2 linked regions of the Macaca mulatta genome follow. Each later gene encodes a partner of the first gene's protein in a complex. Links are inferred from orthologs where the notes say so. Each region holds a gene or a part of one and is shown in the gene's direction. Other genes may lie near its edges.

Evidence for each region. Proteins that work in one complex are often made in the same cells at the same time.
Region 2: the proteins of LRP6 (region 1) and SOST are in contact, whole or in part, in a crystal structure (PDB 6L6R), measured with the Homo sapiens proteins. The link is inferred for Macaca mulatta from reciprocal best matches to the Homo sapiens genes LRP6 and SOST. Residues at the interface, in NP_001401174.1 of Homo sapiens: Arg28, Asp52, Val70, Ser71, Glu73, Leu95, Ser96, Asp98, Glu115, Arg141, Trp157, Trp183, Asn185, Ala201, His226, Phe228, Trp242, Met269, Arg336, His361, Asp379, His404, Asp406, Thr422, Glu447, Arg449, Trp465, Trp491, Asn493, His534; in NP_079513.1 of Homo sapiens: Leu115, Pro116, Asn117, Ala118, Ile119, Gly120, Arg121, Arg169, Thr171, Arg172, His174, Asn175, Gln176, Ser177.

Annotation. Positions count from the first base shown.
Region 1 is NC_133416.1:14,578,222-14,581,838, reverse strand, and holds part of LRP6 (low-density lipoprotein receptor-related protein 6), read left to right. Parts: intron 1-2,890; coding exon 2,891-3,093; intron 3,094-3,617. UniProt on the Homo sapiens protein: Component of the Wnt-Fzd-LRP5-LRP6 complex that triggers beta-catenin signaling through inducing aggregation of receptor-ligand complexes into ribosome-sized signalosomes.
Region 2 is NC_133421.1:68,105,419-68,109,464, reverse strand, and holds the start of SOST (sclerostin precursor), read left to right. Parts: upstream 1-1,226; 5' UTR 1,227-1,244; coding exon 1,245-1,464; intron 1,465-4,046. UniProt on the Homo sapiens protein: Negative regulator of bone growth that acts through inhibition of Wnt signaling and bone formation.

The DNA of each region.
Region 1 (3,617 bases):
ATAGGCTTGGCCTTCTAGTTTATTCTATTCTTAAACAGGAGCAACACCTTTGTCTAAGCTACCGGTGAACACATATGCCTTCAGAAGAGAACTGAAAAGCTCCCTCCTATGTACACATCTCATCCTCCAGCTTCTCTGATGTCTTCATTGTGGGAATGCAAGACTCAGACAACCAGATGAGGTCGTTGTTAAAGCACCATTCTGAAGGAAATGTGGGAGAGGTGGTTAAAGTTTACATAAATTTGATAGGGTGGATTTAGGCTTTTAAAATGGCATATTCGTTGTCATTTTAAGCACTTACTGACTTGAAAATAGGTCAGAATATTGGCTGCCTTTTAGAAATAACCAGTAAATTTGTAATTTTTAATATATTTGAGTAGATTTTTTGGAACAGGCATTTATTTGGAGCCACATGTGGCTTTATCTTAATCCACATTACTAGAACAACAAGATCCACAACTAATGTGGAATCTTATTGAAGGTTAAAATTTTACTTGGAAAAGAGAATACCCAGCAAAATATCCTAGGAGCCAAATATGTATTTGATTAATTGCTTCCCAGGCAAGAAAATGTGGGAACTAAAACTCTGGGATCTTTCTTCTAAGTCTTTTAAACAGAAGGGGGTCTTGCTGTGTTGTTCAGGCTGGTCTTGAACTCCCAGCCGCAAGTGATCCTACTGCCTCAGCCTCCCAAAGGGCTAGTATTACAGGCATGAGCCACTGTGCCCAGCCAATTTAGAACCTTTAACATTTTTTTTTTTTGCTTTACTAAGAAAGTAGTACTGCCAAAATATTCTTCTAAAATAAAAATTATAGTGGGAGACTTTTTAGCTATTCTGTGTGATGTGTTTTTACTACTTGAAGCATGGACTCCACAAAAAATTGCTAAAAGTTGTTAAATCAATGTATTAGTATGATGGACTCCAGATAATGGAGATTTGTAGTAGGATCATTGGGATAACTTTCTAAATCTTCCAAGCTGAATGTGGGTTTTAAACTAATGAACTTAAAGCAGAATTACAGTTTTGTAAATACCAAGTTTCTTTGTGAGTACTGATTTCCTTTGGGTTTTAAGCCAGTATTCATTGAGTGTAAATGTAAAATAAGCTGAGAGACCACTAATAATGGAGCTGTGAAGAATGGGGAATAGGAGGAAATAAAGCAAGAAGTTGTGGCTTGACTATTTATGTTTTATATTCCTGAGAAGGACAAAATTCTCCTGGATTTAGGTATTGTCTGTGAAATGTATACAGATATTTTAATGAAGATTTTAAAAATGGCATTAGACTTTGAAGTTGTTGTAATCTCTCAGAAGTCATTCTTGGCCGAGCATGGTGGCTCACACCTGTAATCCCAGCACTTTGGGAGGCCAAGGTGGGTAGATCTTGAGGTCAGGAGTTCGAGACCAGCCTGGCCAACATGGTGAAACTTTGTCTCTACTAAAAATACAAAAATTAGCTGGGCATGGTGGTGGGCGCCTGTAATCCCAGCTACTCAGAAGGCTGAGGCAGGAGAATCGCTTGAACCCAGGAGGTGGAGGCTGCAGTGAGCCAAGATCGCGCCACTGCATTAGTTCATTTTCATACTGTTGATAAAGACATACTGGAAACTGGGAACAAAAAGAGGTTTAATTGGACCTAACAGTTCCACATGGCTGGGGAGGCCTCAGAATTGTGGTGGGAGGCAAAAGGCACTTATTTCCTGGCAGCGGCAAGAGACAAATGAGAAAGAAGCAAAAGTGGAAACCCCTTTAGATCTCGTGAGACTTATTCACTATTATGAGACTAGCACAGGAAAGACTGGCCCCCATGATTCAGTTACCTCCCCCTGGGTCCCTCTCACAACACATGGGAATTGTGGGAGTACAATTCGAGATTTGGGTGGGGACACAGCCAAACCATATCATAAAGCATCTATTATTATTAGTTTTTGTAATTTTTACCTGCTCTCTTTCCATGCCGTCATCACATACACAAAAAACAAAATGATATCTGCAATCCATGAAGGTTCAATGCCTGTTAATACCAAGTTTATTACTGCTACTACTGGTAATAAATAATTATTTTAAATTTATGGCTGGGCACAGTGGCTCTGCCTGTAATCCCAGCAGTTTGGGAGGGAGGCCGAGGTGGGAGGATTGCTTGAGCCCAGGAGTTCGAGACCAGCCTGGGCAACATGGCGAGACCCCATCTCTATTAATATTTATAAATAATTTTTAAATTATTAAAAACATATTAAAATTTACATTTATATAGTGCCTTACAGTTTTTAAAGTATTTTCATATACGTTGTAAAATTCTCATAGTAACTCAGTGAGAGGGACAAGATGGCTATGACTTTTATTTTACTGCTGAGTAAACTTTGGCCTAGTGAGGCTCAGTGACTTACTTCAGATCAAATGAGAAGGCTGAGACCAAAATCAACCTTCTTTTTTTTTTTTCCCTTGAGATGGGTCTTGCCCTGTCATGTGTAAAATCAGTCTAGAAGTTTCTGCTTTAATTTATATAAGCCCAGGCTTCCTGCCATCTACCAGACAGAATAGGTTAAGGGTTATTCACTTGGTAGACCAGGAGAATTTTGTGTATTTTTATCAAATACCTCATGGAAATGAAGTGTTCTGTGGTATCTCTGTGGACAGGATGGAGAAATATAGGGTAGGTGGCTGTGTCATTCATTAGGTAAGTTCGTAACTGATTTGGTAACCAGGGAGCTGATTAGTGTTACTCTGAAGAGAGTTTCTGAGGGCATGCCACAGAATTTTGTCCCCAGCCTTAGCTCTTCAATATCTGTGTCTGTTTTGTATGAAATACATACAACAGGCTGATCAAATCATTGATGATAGAGGATATAGGGTAACTAGATTTCAGATTTTCTCTTTTCTTCCTTTTAAGCTCCTACCACTTTCCTGCTCTTCAGTCAGAAGAGTGCCATCAACCGCATGGTGATTGATGAACAACAGAGCCCCGACATCATCCTTCCCATCCACAGCCTTCGGAATGTCCGGGCCATTGACTATGACCCTCTGGACAAGCAACTCTATTGGATTGACTCACGACAAAACATGATCCGAAAGGCACAAGAAGATGGCAGCCAGGTAATTGAGAGCGTGGTTCAAAATTCATTTCTCCTGACTAATAATTGGACTCACCAACCATTCTGTTTCACTTAAGTCTTGACTCTGCTTAAGTGTGTTTGTATGTGTTTATGAAACTGAAAATCTGAACCTAGTAACTTATTTTTTCCTTCTGACGATATTTTGAGTAAGCAATTGTTTGATGATGATATTATGATGAAAATTGTTAGGCTTACTTAAGCTGTTATATCGGTAATGGCTTTGTGACTGCCCCCTACATTTCTTTATGAAGCCTTTTTCCTTACATTTCTCTTTGTATAGAGTTTATTAGAAGCCTTGAAATAGGCCTTGGTTCTGATTCCAGCTCTATCCCTCACTTAGAATTCTTACGAACTTTTTTAGCTGAAAAGAATGCAAAGCACATAGCTCTTATGTGTTATTTAACAGGAACTCTACAGTTACATTACTAATTATTATTTAAAAGGTTCAGAGGATATGGAACATGTAACACAATCTCAGTAAGGTTAAAAACATCTAACATGTTA
Region 2 (4,046 bases), on another chromosome or scaffold:
CAAACAATCTGTCTTCAATGAAAGCTTCCTCTGGCCCTCCTTTCTCTTCTGGCACCTCAGGTGTGAACCTTTCTCCCCCATGCCTCTACCGGCCCTCCCCTCCCTGCCGCCCCGGCCCTGTGCCGCTTATTATATGCAGGGCCAATAAGGCAATTTCTTCTAGCTTCTTTGTGACCAGTCGGTCCTGGGATGGCTTCATGGAACACATCCTGTGGTGTGCACCAATGAAGCTCTCCATACAGGACTCAAAAATGTTTTTGAAAAATGTAACCAGCTGGAAGACAAGAAAATAAAATGTCAGCACTAAAAACGCTGGCTGTGGCTTTTGCTAAGGAAAGGAATTTGGTGTTGTCTGCTTGCACGCACAGCCTGGTTGGGGAAATGACTGTCTTCAGTATATCACCCTGCGAGCCACAGTGAGTGCCCTGGCTCGGAAGTGCCTGTCACGGTGCACAGGATCCCCGAGGAGCATGAGCTGGGATTTCCTCTGTGCTCTCCATCACAGGAGCCTGAGTGACCAGCGCATCCTCGGTTTGTAACCAGAATCCTGCCCCATCTCCCAAGTGGGCACCCTTGCTCTGGCCCTCTAGTTCTCTCTCTTGCCTTCCGGAGAATGCCAAGAGAGGCTTTCTTAGGTCAATCAATGCTGAGACTTGTGAAGTTAGGACGGATGGGATTTCTTTAAAAGCATCATTTTGCCTCTAGCTGGGTCTATGGAGGTCAGACACCCCTTGGGCCATTTGTTGGTGGGGTGACAAATGAACTTGGCCTGAGAAATGGAGTAGGCTGGGCTCAGCCCCACGAAGCACTCGGAACTGCACATTCTCTTTGTTGAGCGGGTCCACAGTTTGTTTTGAGAATGCCTGAGGGCCCAGGGAGACAGACAATTAAAAGCCGGAGCTCATTTTGATATCTGAAAACCACAGCCGCCAGCACGTGGGAGGTGCCGGAGAGCAGGCTTGGGCCCTGCCTCACACGCCCCCTCTCTCTGGGTCACCTGGGAGTGCCAGCAGCAATTTGGAAGTTTGCTGAGCTAGAGGAGAAGTCTTTGGCGAGGGTTTGCTCTGAGCACACCCCTTTCCCTCCCCCCCGGGGGGGCTGAGGGAAACATGGGACCAGCCCTGCCCCAGCCTGTCCTCATTGGCTGGCATGAGGCAGAGGGGGGCTTTAAAAAGGCGACCGTGTCCGCTGGAGACCAGAGCCTGTGCTACTGGAAGGCTGCGTGCCCTCCTCTGGCTGGCACCATGCAGCTCCCACTAGCCCTGTGTCTTGTCTGCCTGCTGGTACACGCAGCCTTCCGTGTAGTGGAGGGCCAGGGGTGGCAGGCCTTCAAGAATGATGCCACGGAAATCATCCCTGAGCTCGGAGAGTACCCCGAGCCTCCACCGGAGCTGGAGAACAACAAGACCATGAACCGGGCGGAGAACGGAGGGCGGCCTCCCCACCACCCCTTTGAGACCAAAGGTATGGGGTGGTGGAGAGAATTCTCAGTAAAAGGTCCTGGGGAGGTTTTAGAAACTTCTCTTTGGGAGGCTTTGGGAAGACTGGGTAGACCCAGTGAAGATTGTTGGCCTCTGCCAGCACTGGTCAAGGAACAGTCTTGCCTGGAGATGGGGGAAGGATGGCTCACTGGTGCAGCCTTCTAATTCAGGTGCAGGGGCATGAGGCAACAGACACTGGTGAGAGCCCAGGGCAGGGAGGAGGCTGGGGTGGTGAGGGTATGGCATCAGGTTATCAGAACAGGCTCCGGGGCTCAGAAAAGAAAAGGTTTCAAAGAATCTCCTGCTGGGAACATAGGAGCCACGTCCAGCTGCTGGTACCATTGGGGAGGGAACAAGGTAAGGGAGCCTCCCATCCACAGAACAGCACCTGCAGGGTGCCAGACACTCTATGCTGGCGGTGGCTGTCTCCATGACACAGACCCATGTCATGGAAGCCCCAGGAGGTGAACCCCCAGCTTGAAGGGGAAGAAACAGGCTCCACGCACTCAGTAACTTGGTAGTGAGGAGAAGAGCTGAGGTTTGAATCTGGTTTGATCAACTGCAAGATAGCCCTGGTGTGTGGGGGGGGGTGTTGGGGATAGATCTCCACAAAGTAGTGGGAGAGGAAGGCCAGAGAGGCACCCCTGCAGTGTGCATTGCCCATGGCCTGCCCAGGGAGCTGGCACTTGAAGGAATGAGAGTTTTCCGCAGTTTTAGCCCCTGACATGGGTGCAGCTGAGTTCAGGCCCTGGAGGGGAAGACAGCATCCTCTGCGCAGGAGTAGGCACATCCGTCCTCAGTGGCCACCCCATTCCCAGCCTTGCCTCATTCCAGGGGAGGGAGAAGGAAGAGGGACCCTGGGTTCCTGGTCAGGCCTGCACAGAGAAGCCCAGGTGACAGTGTGCATCTGGCTGTATGGTTGGCAGGAATCACGAGGCCGTGGGTGGGGGCTGGAATGACACTTCAGACTGAGGGCTTCCCTGCCCTCTGGCCATTATCCAGGTGGCAGAGAAGTCCACTGCCCAGGCTCCTGGACCCCAGCCCTCCCTGCCTCATAACCTGTTGGGGCTATGGGGTGCTAAAAAGGGCAACTGTATGGGAGGCCAGCCAGGACCCTGTGTCTTCCAAATGGAGGACAAGGGTGCCTCCTCCCACAGCTCCCCTTCTAGGCAAGGTCAGCTGGGCTCCCGTGACCTCCTGAAGGGCTGTAAGGAACCCAAACACAAAATGTCCACCCTGCTGGACTCCCATGAGAGGCCACAGCCCCCAAGGAAGCCACGTGCTCAAAACAAAGTCACAGTCTGCAGAGGAAGTGCCTGACTTGGGGCACTATTCTTGGAAAGCCCCAAAATGCCCCCTTCCCTGGGCAAATGTCCCCCCGACCACACACACACCCCAGCTCTGCAGAGGTGAGGATGCAAACCAGACCACAAACCAGAAAGCAGCCCCAGACAATGGCAGTGGCCACATCTCTCCTGCTGTGCTTGCTCTCCAGAGTGGGGGTGGGGAGCAGCCTTCACTGTCCCCTCTCTGGTTTGGTCTTAAGACTATTTTTCATTCTTTCGTGTCACATTGGAACTATCCCCATGAAACCTTTGCGGGGTGGACTGGTACTCACACGACCATCTATTTAAAAAGCTCCCACCCATCTAAGTCCACCATAGGAGACATGGTCAAGGTGTGTGCAGGGGATCAGGCCAGGCCTGGGAGCCCCATCTCTGCCTGCCCAGGGAGTATCACCACGAGGTGCCCATTCAGATAACACAGAACAAGAAATGTGCCCAGCAGAGAGCCAGGTAAATGTTTGTGGCAGCTGAACCTGTAGATTTTGGGTCAGAGCTCAGTCCCCCTATGGTAGGAAAGTAACTAGAGTGAAAAACAGCCCTCGGCTCCATCCCCCAGCCCAGCCTCCCATGGGTGCTCGAACACAGAGCCTCCACTCTTGTGGGAGCCAAAAGGTGCTGGGACCCCAGGGAAGTGGAGTCTGGAGATGCAGCCCAGTCTTTTGGGCAAGTTCTTTTCTCTGGCGGGGCCTCAGTATTCTCATTGATAATGAGGGGGTTGGACACACTGCCTTTGATTCCTTTCAAGTCTAATGAATTCCTGTCCTGATCACCTCCCCTTCAGTCCCTCGCCACCACAGCAGCTGCCCTGATTTATTACCTTCAATTAACCTCTACTCCTTTCTCCATCTCCTGTTCACCCCTCCCAAGTGGCTGGAAAAGGAATTTGGGAGAAGCCAGAGCCAGGCAGAAGGTGTGCCGAGCACTTACCCTGCCCAGGCCAGGGACCCTGTGGCACAAGTGTGGCTTAAATCATAAGAGGACCCCAGGAGAGAAATGATAATAGTAATATATAACAGCCGACGCTTTCAGCTATATCTGCCAAATGGTATTCTCTGCATTGCGTGTGGAATGGATTAACTCACAGTGCTTGGGGCGGCCCATTTTACAGACTGGAAGAAGAGAGAGATTAAGGAACTTGCCCAAGATGACACCAGCAGTGAGCGATGGAGCCCTGGTGTTTGAACCCCAACAGTCATTTGGCTCCGAGGGGACAGGGTGC